Stegostoma tigrinum: one gene and its partners. The protein of the gene in region 3 interacts with the protein of the main gene of each other region in a pairwise test. Links are inferred from orthologs where the notes say so. Each region holds a gene or a part of one and is shown on either strand. Other genes may lie near its edges.

What was found.
Region 1: the proteins of coil (region 3) and snrpf interact in binary tests that used the Homo sapiens proteins (3 or more experiments, as listed by UniProt). The two-hybrid records come from large-scale screens. The link is inferred for Stegostoma tigrinum from reciprocal best matches to the Homo sapiens genes COIL and SNRPF.
Region 2: the proteins of coil (region 3) and polr2l interact in binary tests that used the Homo sapiens proteins (3 or more experiments, as listed by UniProt). The two-hybrid records come from large-scale screens. The link is inferred for Stegostoma tigrinum from reciprocal best matches to the Homo sapiens genes COIL and POLR2L.

The regions. Positions count from the first base shown.
Region 1 is NC_081378.1:51,004,423-51,008,169, reverse strand, and holds the start of snrpf (small nuclear ribonucleoprotein F), read right to left. Parts: upstream 2,513-3,747; 5' UTR 2,291-2,512; coding exon 2,288-2,290; intron 1-2,287. UniProt on the Homo sapiens protein: Plays a role in pre-mRNA splicing as a core component of the spliceosomal U1, U2, U4 and U5 small nuclear ribonucleoproteins (snRNPs), the building blocks of the spliceosome.
Region 2 is NC_081391.1:22,282,279-22,286,025, reverse strand, and holds the start of polr2l (DNA-directed RNA polymerases I, II, and III subunit RPABC5), read right to left. Parts: upstream 2,435-3,747; 5' UTR 2,355-2,434; coding exon 2,260-2,354; intron 1-2,259. UniProt on the Homo sapiens protein: DNA-dependent RNA polymerase catalyzes the transcription of DNA into RNA using the four ribonucleoside triphosphates as substrates.
Region 3 is NC_081375.1:3,303,390-3,307,136, reverse strand, and holds the start of coil (coilin), read left to right. Parts: upstream 1-1,211; 5' UTR 1,212-1,227; coding exon 1,228-1,490; intron 1,491-3,747. UniProt on the Homo sapiens protein: Component of nuclear coiled bodies, also known as Cajal bodies or CBs, which are involved in the modification and assembly of nucleoplasmic snRNPs.

The DNA of each region.
Region 1 (3,747 bases), on a different chromosome or scaffold from region 3:
GGGGGTGGTCGGGGTGGGGAGAGGGGTGGTCGGGGTGGGGAGAGGGGTGGTCGGGGTGGGGAGAGGGGTGGTCGGGGTGGGGAGAGGGGTGGTCGGGGTGGGGAGAGGGGTGGTCGGGGTGGGGGGAGAGGGGAGGTCGGGGTGGGGGGAGAGGGGTGGTCGGGGTGGGGGGAGAGGGGTGGTCGGGGTGGGGGGAGAGGGGTGGTCGGGGTGGGGGGAGAGGGGTGGTCGGGGTGGGGGGAGAGGGGAGGTCGGGGTGGGGGGAGAGGGGAGGTCGGGGTGGGGGGGAGAGGGGAGGTCGGGGTGGGGGGAGAGGGGTGGTCGGGGTGGGGGGGGGGAGAAGAGGGGTGGTCGGGGTGGGGGGGGGGGAGAAGGGTGGTCGGGGTGGGGAGAGGGGTGGTCGGGGTGGGGAGAGGGGTGGTCGGGGGGAAAGAGGGGTGGTCGGGGGGAAAGAGGGGGGTGTCGGGGGGGGGGAAAGAGGGGGGTGTCGGTGTGGGGGAAAGAGGGGGGTGTCGGGGGGGGGGGAAAGAGGGGGGTGTCGGGGGGGGGGGAAAGAGGGGGGTGTCGGGGGGGGGGGAAAGAGGGGGGTGTCGGGGGGGGGAAAGAGGGGGGTGTCGGGGGGGGGGAAAGAGGGGGGTGTCGGGGGGGGGGAAAGAGGGGGGTGTCGGGGGGGGGGGAAAGAGGGGGGTGTCGGGGGGGGGAAAGAGGGGGGTGTCGGGGGGGGGAAAGAGGGGGGTGTCGGGGGGGGGAAAGAGGGGGGTGTCGGGGTGGGGAAAGAGGGGGGTGTCGGGGTGGGGAAAGAGGGGGGTGTCGGGGGGGGGGAAAGAGGGGGGTGTCGGGGTGGGGAAAGAGGGGGGTGTCGGGGTGGGGAAAGAGGGGGGTGTCGGGGTGGGGAAAGAGGGGGGGGGGAAGAGGGGGGGGGAAGGGGGGGGGGAAGAGGGGGGGGGAAGAGGGGGGGGGGGAAGAGGGGGGGGGGGAAGAGGGGGGGGGAAGAAGAGGGGGGGGAAGAAGAGGGGGGGGAAGAAGAGGGGGGGGAAGAAGAGGGGGGGGAAGAAGAGGGGGGGGGAAGAAGAGGGGGGGGGGAAGAAGAGGGGGGGGGGAAGAAGAGGGGGGGGGAAGAAGAGGGGGGGGGGAAGAAGAGGGGGGGGGAAGAAGAGGGGGGGGGGAAGAAGAGGGGGGGGGGAGAAGAGGGGGGGGGGAGAAGAGGGGGGGGGGAGAAGAGGGGGGGGGGAGAAGAGGGGGGGGGGAGAAGAGGGGGGGGGAGAAGAGGGGGGGGGGAGAAGAGGGGGGGGGGAGAAGAGGGGGGGGGGAGAAGAGGGGGGGGGGAGAAGAGGGGGGGGGGAGAAGAGGGGGGGGGGAGAAGAGGGGGGGGAAGAAGGGGGGGGGGGAAGAAGAGGGGGGGGGAAGAAGAGGGGGGGGGGAAGAAGAGGGGGGGGGAAGAAGAGGGGGGGGGAAGAAGAGGGGGGGGGGAAGAAGAGGGGGGGGGGAAGAGGGGGGGGGGAAGAGGGGGGGGGAAGAGGGGGGGGGAAGAGGGGGGGGGAAGAGGGGGGGGGGGAAGAGGGGGGGGAAGAGGGGGGGGGGAAGGGGGGGGGGGGAAGGGGGGGGAAGGGGGGGGGGAAGGGGGGGGGAAGGGGGGGGGGGAAGGGGGGGGGGGGAAGGGGGGGGGAAGGGGGGGGGAAGAGGGGGGGGGGAAGGGGGGGGGGGGAAGGGGGGGGGGGGAAGAGGGGGGGGGGAAGAGGGGGGGGGGGAAGAGGGGGGGGGGGAAGAGGGGGGGGGGAAGAGGGGGGGGGAAGGGGGGGGGGGAAGAGGGGGGGGGAAGAGGGGGGTGTCGGGGGGGAAGGGGAAGAGGGGGGGAGGGGGAAGAGGGGGGGAGGGGGAAGAGGGGGGGAGGGGGAAGAGGGGGGGTGGGGGAAGAGGGGGGGTGGGGGAAGAGGGGGGGTGGGGGAAGAGGGGGGGTGGGGGAAGAGGGGGGGTGGGGGAAGAGGGGGGGTGGGGGAAGAGGGGGGGTGGGGGTGGGGGTGGGGGTGGGGGTGGGGGTGGGGGGAGGTCGGGGAAACAGACCGCACCCCCACCCCCACCCGAACACACCTTTCCGATGAGGGAGGGAAGTTACAGATCAATACCCACGCACCACCCTCCCCCCCCCCCCGGCCCCCGGGACGGTTTCGCGATGCGGGCTCGGGGGGAGGGTTTAACTTCAGTGCCGGTGCAGCCTCACGGACCAGGCCGCAAGCGCTCCCAGCCTCCGCCACCCCGGGCTGTGCGTGTACGCGGCAGGTTCCCTCACCATGCCGGCGCCTGTGGGACAGTCGGAAGGAAGTGGGATGGTCTGAACGGGACGGCTCGGCTCGGACACGGACACGGAATGACGGCTGCTCCGGAACGGGACGAACTTTGTGTCAGAGACCGACACACGCGGGGAGGAGCGCCAAAGGCTGGGAGCAGGGCCTGCTGGGAACCGTAACCCTTCACCTCTCACCCTCCCGCCGCCATATTGGGTGGCGGTTACCACGGAGACCGACAGCTCGGCGGCGAAAGGCCGTAAGCGAACCTTCAGAGTTGTGCAGCTGAGCCCCGTGGAGTAATGGCCAAGGATCTTTTACAGCAGGTACCACAGAGACATTTGACACGATTAATAACAACAACAGGTCTGGGGTGGGAGCCAGGTTCTGGTGCGTCTTGACAGTCAGTATTGGTGTTTGCAGTAAAATCTCCAGGAGGACGGCACAGACAGAGATGAAAGGGTGAGCCCTGTTCAGGGGCGAGACGAAGCCAATGGGCAGCGGTCAGGGGTGGGTTTGGGGGTCGGGTGGCCAGATTTTCAAAAGCCTGAGTGAACCAAGGATCGTTGAATCAGAGAACAGTGGAGGGAGACCATTCAGCCCATCATGCCTGCGTTGGCTCCCTGAGCATCATGACTTGTCTCCTGAGATGCTGCTTGGCCTGCTGTGTTCATCCAGCTTCACACTTTGTTACCATGACTTGTCTCCTGCCCGTTCTTTCGATTTTAATAATGTCCTCTTTCATTGCCTCAGTCGAACCTGCCTCTCGCGTACTTGCTGATAGTGTATTTCCAGAACCAAACTACTTGCTGTGCGAAAAGTTTTTATTTCTTACATCACACTTGCCTCTTTTGCAAAGCACTTCAAATCTCCCAGAGAGAAGAGTCTGTTAAATTAAGAAATCAATAATACTTGGAAATGAACAGACTGATCTCTCCATGTTGATGTAAAAAAGATGAGTACGTCTAGTATGTGACTGGTGTGTTTCAAACCTTTTACAGAACAGTTTCTTCCAATCAACTCATTGGAAGGTCATGCAAGATTCAGGCACCGTGATGATCAACATGTTGGGGGTGAACAGTGCCTGGTGTTGAAAGTGAGAGGACATGTGATGACATCCCCCCCCCCCGCCCCAATATCTCCAACCAGAGCTGTGTTTTGTTTTAAGCAGGCTGTTTCGTTATGTTGTGACACAACCCCATGACCTTCAAACCTTGAGGTGGGACTTGAATACAGATCTTCTAGACCAGGGGTGGGGACATCACTGTATCAGACACTTTGGACATCCAAACAGTTTGCAACACCTTTCATTAGATATTTTATAGGCTATTACCAGCAGAAGAGACATTGGTGTCAAGAAGCTCATGACAACTGTCTTGGAGATGCCAAGAGGGAAGTGGTACCGGGAGGGATCAGATATAGGTCCAATGCATGCAATGCCACGTGATGAGTGCATTCAGAAAAG
Region 2 (3,747 bases), on a different chromosome or scaffold from region 3:
GACAGCGTTGTGAGGCTAGGAAGGTGGGATGGGTGTAGATGGGAGATCAATGGCCAACATGGACTCGGTAGGTCTCTCTCTGTGCTGTGATATCAACAAAGAACATTACATGCAGCGAATCAAATTGGCTGAAGACTGGTATCTGAGATGCCAAAGACCACTGGAGGCCAAGATGTGCCATCCACTCAGCATTTCTGACTGAAGATGGTTGCAAATGCTTCAGCCTTATCTTCTGCGCTGGTGCTGGGAATAATGGTGGAGCCCCCTCTTCAAGGGCGACGTTGATTATCTACCACCATTCATGACTTGATACAGGAAGACTGTACAGTTTAGATCTGATTCCGCTGGTTTTGAATCACTTAGCTTTGTCTATCTCTTGCTGCTTATGCCTCTTGATTTGTAAATAGTCCTGTTTCATAGCTTCACCGGGTTGACAGCTCACTTTTAGGATAACGTGGAAATGCTCTGACACACCTTACTGCACTCTGCATTGACCTAAGGTTGATCCCCTGCTTGGTGTTACTAAGAGTTGGGGATATATTGGGCCATGAGGTTGCAGACCTGGCAGGTAGAGGCACTGTAATATTTAAATATTTAGATTTGCACTTGCGATGCCAAAGCATACATGGCTATGGCCAAATGTAGAAAAACAGGATTAGAATAATTAGGTAACAAAGTGTGGAGCTGGATGAACACCGTAGGCCAAACAGCATCTTAGGAGCTCAAGAGCTGACGTTCCGAGCCTACTTGTTGGGCCAAAAAGCCTTTCTCTGTGCTGTATTATGACTATGCTTCCATAGAGGGACTTTTGCCCCTAATCCTTATTTGGGGACTTGCATGAACCACAGTTTAAAATTCGTAACTGATTGAACAAACTGTTTTTTAAACACATTCCACCACCCTACTGTGGGTGTATAAAATGTCTCTTCCCAATTTATCTCATGATCTTATTGAATTACAGAACAGACTGTAAGTCTCAGGAGCAGAACAAGGCCATGTAGCCCATCAAGTCTGCTCCACTATTCAATGAGATCATGGTTGATCTGATAACTCAACTCCATTTTCCTGCTGTTTCCCTACAATCCTTCATTCCTTTACTGATTAAAAATCTGTGTCTCAAACTTGAGCAAGAGAATCTGTGGGAAAGAATTCCAGATTCACTACCCTCATAAGAGATTCCTCAACTCTGGTGTAACTGAGCAATTCCTTAGTCTGTCATTATACCCTCTAGTCCTAGACTCTCCAAGATGGAGAAACAACTTCTTAGCATCCAACCCGTCATGCCAACACCACGTCCCCACCTTCCAATAACTTTTTGCTTTAATGAGGCCACCCAGCCAATCTTCTGAGTCCAGTGTTCTGGCTGAGCCAACTCAACATCTCAAGAAAATCCCTCCACAAGCAGGATCAGCCTCAAGAGCCTTCTCTGGATCACCTGCAATGGCAACGTGTCTTTCTGTTGATAAGGGTTCTAAATCAGTTCACAGCATTCCAAACATCTGGCTCAAGGGTCAATACTCCCTACTTTGACTCCTAATTCATACAGATGTACCACTTGGCCATATCTTGGCTTTTCATAAATTCGACCAAGGCTGATACTAAGGTGGAGAACTGGATGAACACAGCAGGCCAAGCAGCATCGGAGGAACAGGAAGGGTACCGTTTCGGGTCACGAAGAAGGGCTCAGACCCGAAAGGTCAGCTTCCCTGCTCCTCTGATGCTGGTTGGCCTGCTGTGTTCACCCAGCTCCAGGCCGGTGTTATCTCACTGTCTCCAGGATCTGCAGTTTCTACTATCTCTGAGGCTGACACTGTTGGCGCTCTGTCCAAGTTTGTTTTATATTCACCCGCGGGACCTGAGTGTCACTGGCTTGACCAGCATTAGTTGCCCAGAGAGGGGGGAGCCCAGTCACCCACACTGCTGTGGGTCTGGAGTCACATGTAGACCAGGCCATGGTGTGGGTGGCAGATTCCCCCCCCCCCCCCCAAAGGGTATTAGCGAACCAGGTGGGGTTTTCTCACAAACTGGCAAGGGGTTCATCACCAGACTCTTCACTCCAGGTTCAAACCTGTTTCCCCGGAACATTAACCCGGGGCTTTGCACTCATCGTGGCACCGGGCCTCCCCGTTGTCCCAGTGAGTCCGGCCAGAGTCTGGATGGAAGGTGCGGGCGCTGCCCGAGGCCGGTGTTGTTGTTGTTGTTGTTAGGCCCCAGGCCCCAGGCCTCTCCCCGCCCACCCCGCCCCCGGCTGTTACTCACCCCTCCGTGTACTCGGCCTGCAGCAGGCCCAGGTAAGCCTCCCACTTGTTGCCGACCACCTTGCCGCAGGTGAAGCAGCGGACCGGGATGATCATGGCGCCGTCTCCGAGAATGAGTCGTGGGGACGGAAACTCCGCTTCTGGAAACTTCTCCCAGCGTCAGCCCACTGCGCATGTGCTGGGGGGGGGGGGAGAAAATGATGTCCCGCGGGCAGATTGCGCATGCGTGCCGTACTGGGCCTGCGGTGAGGAATTGAGAGCAGCGGGGGGCGCTGTTTCTCTCAATTTCACCTCCAAAGTGGGAGGAGGGGCATGAGGTGGGTCTCAGAGACTACAGGGTCAAGACTTGTTACCCATTTCCTAATTTCAACCTTTACAAGGTGTGGGTGGGTTGCTGTCTAACCAGAGCAATGAAACAGCACAGCAGGGGCCATTCAGTCCATCCTGCCTGTGCTGACCCAAATGCCTTTGCAATCCCACCTTCCTGCACACAACCCATAGTTTTGCAGATTACAGCACTTCAGGCGCAGATCGGGGACTTTCGAAAAGAGTTTAGAGCCGTTGCCTCCATCACCAACTCACACAGCAAATTCTAGACACACATCATCGTCTGCATAAGAGATAATAGGAACTGCAGAGGCTGGAGAATCCGATATAACAAGGTGTAGAGCTGGCAGGCCAAGCAGCATCTTCGGAGCAGGAAAGCTGACATTTCAGGCCTAGACCCTTCATCAGAAATGGGGGCGAGGAAGAGGGTTCTGAAATAAATAGGGAGAGAGGGGGAGATGGATCAAATATGGATAGAGGAGAAGATAGGTGAAGAGGAGACAGACAGGTTAAAGAGGCGGGGGTGGAGCCATGAAAGGTGAGTGTAGGTGGGGGAGGTAGGGAGGGGATAGGTCAGTCCGGGGAGGACGGACAGGTCAAGGGGGCAGGATGAGGTTAGTAGGTAGGAGATGGGGGTGGGGCTTGAGGTGGGAGGTGGGGATAGGTGGGAGGAAGGGCAGGTTAGGGAGACAGGGATGAGTTGGGCTGGTTTTGGGATGCAGTGGGGGGACGGGAGATTTTTAAGCTTGTAAAATCCACATTGATACCATTGGGATGCAGGGTTCCCAAGCGGAATATGAGTTGCTGTTCCTGCAACCTTCGGGTGGCATCATTGTGGCACTGCAGGAGGCCCAGGATGGACATGTCATCTGCGGAATGGGAGGGGGAGTTGAGTGGTTCGTGACTGGGAGGTGCAATTGTTTATTGCAAACTGAGCATAGGTGTTCTGCAAAGCGATCCCCAAGCCTCCACCTGGTTTCCCCGATGTAGAGGAGGCCACAATGCGAACAGCAGTATACCTCATTTGCAGATGTGCAGGTGAACATCTGCTTGATGTGAAAAGTCATCTTGGGGCCTAGGATGTGGGTGAGGGAGCAGGTGTAGCACTTCCTGCGGTTGCAGGGGAAGGTGCCGGGTGTGGTGGGGCTGGAGGGGAGAGTGG
Region 3 (3,747 bases):
ACTGTCGGAGGGTCAGTGCTGAGGGAATGCCGCACTGTTGGAGGGTCAGCACTGTGGGTGTGCCGCACTGTTGGATGGTCAGTGCTGAGGGAGTGCCTCACTGTCGGAAGGTCAGTGCAGACGGAGTGGGCGCTGTCGGAGGGTCAGTGCTGAGGGAGCGGGTGCTGTCGGAGGGTCAGTGCTGAGGGAGTGTTAGACCATAAGACATAGGAGTGGAAGTAAGGCCCATCAAGTCCACTCCGCCATTTAAATCATGGCTGATGGGCATTTCAACACCACTTCCCTGCACTCTCCCCGTCGCCCTTGATTCCTTGTGAGATCAAGAATTTGTCGATCTCTGCCTTGAAGGCATCCAACGTCCCGGCCTCCACTGCACTCTGCGGCAATGAATTCCACAAGTCCACCACTCTGGCTGAAGAAATGTCGTCTCATTTCAGTTTTAAATTTACTCCCTCTAATTTTAAGGCTGTGCCCACGGGACCTAGTCTCCCCGACTAACGGAAACAACTTCCTAGCGTCCACCCCTTCTAAACCATACATTATCTTGTAAGTTTCTATTAGATCTCCCCTCAACCTTCTAAACTCAAATGAGTACAATCCCAGGATCCTTAGCCGTTCATCATACGTTAAACCTAGCATTCCAGGGATCATCCGTGTGAATCTCCACTGGACACGCTCCAGGGCTAGTATGTCCTTCCTGAGGTGTGGGCCCCAAAATTGGATACAGTATTCTAAATGGGGCCTAACTAGAGCTTTAGAAAGCCTCAGAAGCACATCGCTGCTTTTATATTCCAACCCTCTTGAGATAAACGACAACATTACATTCGCTTTCTTAATTATGGACTCTACCTGTTGGTTTTAAGTTTGCAAAATTCACAAGATTGTGTAAAGCTTCCACCTGAGCGTAAATAAAATTAAGTATAAGTGTTGTATTCAACAACAGGAAGAGAATGTGGAATCTGCATCAAACACTCAGCAATGATCCTATTGAAGGGAGGGGCTTTGATGGGCTGAATGGCCTCTTCTCCCTCCCCATTCCTGCGGATCCTTCACTTTCGGGGCCCCAACCCAGATCCCGCCCTCCCCATGAGTGACAGCACTCCATCCAACCACTGCACGGGCAAAATGGCGTCACAGCGTGTGGACCAATAGGAGTGTGTGTGGGTGTGTGTAGTACTAGGCCCCGCCCCCCGGCCCGGGTTGCGCGCGCAGCCGGGGCCCTCTAAGATGGCGGCGGTTCGTGTCCGCCTGGTGTTCGAGTACCCGCCGCCGCTGCTGCCGGCCTCCAGGATGTGCTGGTTACTGGTGCAGCCCCAGCACTGCCGGGTGGTGGCCGACCTCGAGAGTATCATCCGTCAGCGCTTCGGCTTCAGCGCCAGCAGCACCCGCCTCCACCTGTTTGTGGACAGCTGCCTCCTGCCCCCCAACGAGAGCATCCACCTGGTCCGGGACAACGACTGCATCAGGTCCCGGGGGTCGGGGGGAATGAGGTGGGGGCGGGGGGGGGGTGTGGGAATGGGGGTGGGATCGGCGGGGGGTGTGGGATCGGGGTCGCCGGGGCGGCAATGGGGGCGGGATCGGCGGGGGGGGGGTGAATGGGGGCGGGATCGGCGGGGGGGGGGTGAATGGGGGCGGGATCGGCGGGGGGGGGGTGAATGGGGGCGGGATCGGCGGGGGGGGGGTGAATGGGGGCGGGATCGGGGGTGCCGGGGCGGCAATGGGGGTGGGATTGGCGGTCGGTGGTGGGATCAGTGGGGGTGTGGGCATGGGGGTGATGGAATGGTGGGAGGGAATGGGGGCAGGATTGGTGGGGGGGTATGGGGGTGGGGTCAGCGGGCGTGTGGGAATGGGGGGCTAGGTCGGCGGGTGTATGGGAATGAGGGTGGGAATGGTGGGGGGTATGGGGGCGGGGTCGGTGGGCGTGTGGGAATGGGGGTGGGGTCGGTGGGGGGTTTTGGAATTGGTGGTGTGTGTGTAATGGGGGGGGGGCGGATAATGGATGTGGGATCGCACAGGTGCGCGAATTGGGGTGGGATCGGTGGCGGGGAGAATGAGTGTTGAAAAGCTGGGGGCTGGAATGGTAGGGAGGTGGAATGGCGTGGTGTGGGATTTGCTGGGGTGTGGAATGGCGAGGGGTGGAGAATAGGGTGTGGGATCTGCAGGGCTGGGGAAATCCGGGTGGGATTGGCAGCGGGGAGAATGGGGGTTGAAACGCTGGGGGCTGGATTGGCGTGGGGTTGGAATTGTAGGGAGGTGGAATGGTGTGGATGTGGGATTGGTGGGGGTGTGGAAGGGCAAGGGGTGGGGGAATGGGGGTGGGACTGGCAGCGGGGAGAATGGCGGTTGAAATACTGGGGGCTGGAATGGCAGGGAGGTGGAATGGCGTGGGTGTAGGAGTGGGTGTGGGGTTTGCAGGGGGATAGTGGGTGTTGGAATGGCAAGAAGGTGGGTTGGCGTGGGGGTGGGATTGGCAGGGGGGAGAATGGGGGTTGAATTGGCCGGGGATGGAATGACAGGGAGGTGGAATGGTTGTGTGTGTTGGATTGGGGGTGGGATTGGAGGGTGTGTGGGAATGGCGGGGGGTGATCGGGGGACAGGATAGAGTGATCGTGGAATGGGGGGGAGATCTGGAATGTGGGAGGGTTGGGGGGTGCAGAGTGTGAGGGGGGGAATGGGGCAGAGAGTGTGGGGAATGGGCAGGGTCCGAATGGGGGAGGGGAAAGCTGCGAGGGGGAAATATGGCACGCGACAGATGAGGAAGAATTGGGAGAGAGGGATGAGGAATGGAGGTAGTGAGAGACGAGCTGGGTTGTTCCAGCAACTTCTGCTTTTGTTTCTGATTTACAGCATCCGCAGTTCTTTTGGGTTTGGACAGAACTACCTAATGCCACCAAGCACTGAGCCTCTGTTCTCTGCACATTTTCTACGTATTTCCCCATTCGTGTTATTGTTGCATCGACATGCAACTACTGCAGTAGTTTCCTTCCACATTGATGTTATGTCTGTAATTTGGATGAGAGGATTAAATATAAGATTTCCAAGTGCGGTCTCAAAAAGTGCCAAGCATAGATGGAAAGGCAGGTTGTGAGGATGAGAGTCTGCAGAGGGATATAGATAGGTTATGTGAGTGATGGAATATAATGTGGGGAAATGAGGCTATCCTCTTCGGAAGAATAGAGAAGCTGAATATTACATTGTGGAGAAAAACTGTAGAAACCTATAGAACAGAGGGATTTATGAGGCCTATTGTTTGCATCAGGAAAAAAAATCATCCAAGCTCAGCAGGTAACAAGTGAAATAGATGAGATCCTTTATTTCAAATGGAATGGTGTATAAAAATAGCAGGTTTAGCTAAAACGATCCAAACTAGAATTGGAATATTGTGATGAGTTGTGGTCCCTTGTCTAAGGAAAGATATATTGGCATTGGAGAAGGTTCCTGTGGTTGATCCTGAATGTGAAGAACCTATCTTGTGAGGGGAGTTTGAGTACGTTGGACAAGTGCTTGTTGCAGTTTAGAAGAATGAGAGGTGACCTCCTTGAAATATATAAGATTTTTATAGGACTTGACAAGGGATATGTACAGAGACTGTTTGCCCTGCAAGACAGTATAGACCGTGGTTGGCATGGTGGCTCATTGATTAGCACATCTGCTTCACACCGTCAGGGACGCGGGTTCAATTCCACCCTTGGGCGACTCTGTCTGGAGTGTGTACATTCTCCCTGTGTCTGCGTGGGTTTCCTCCGG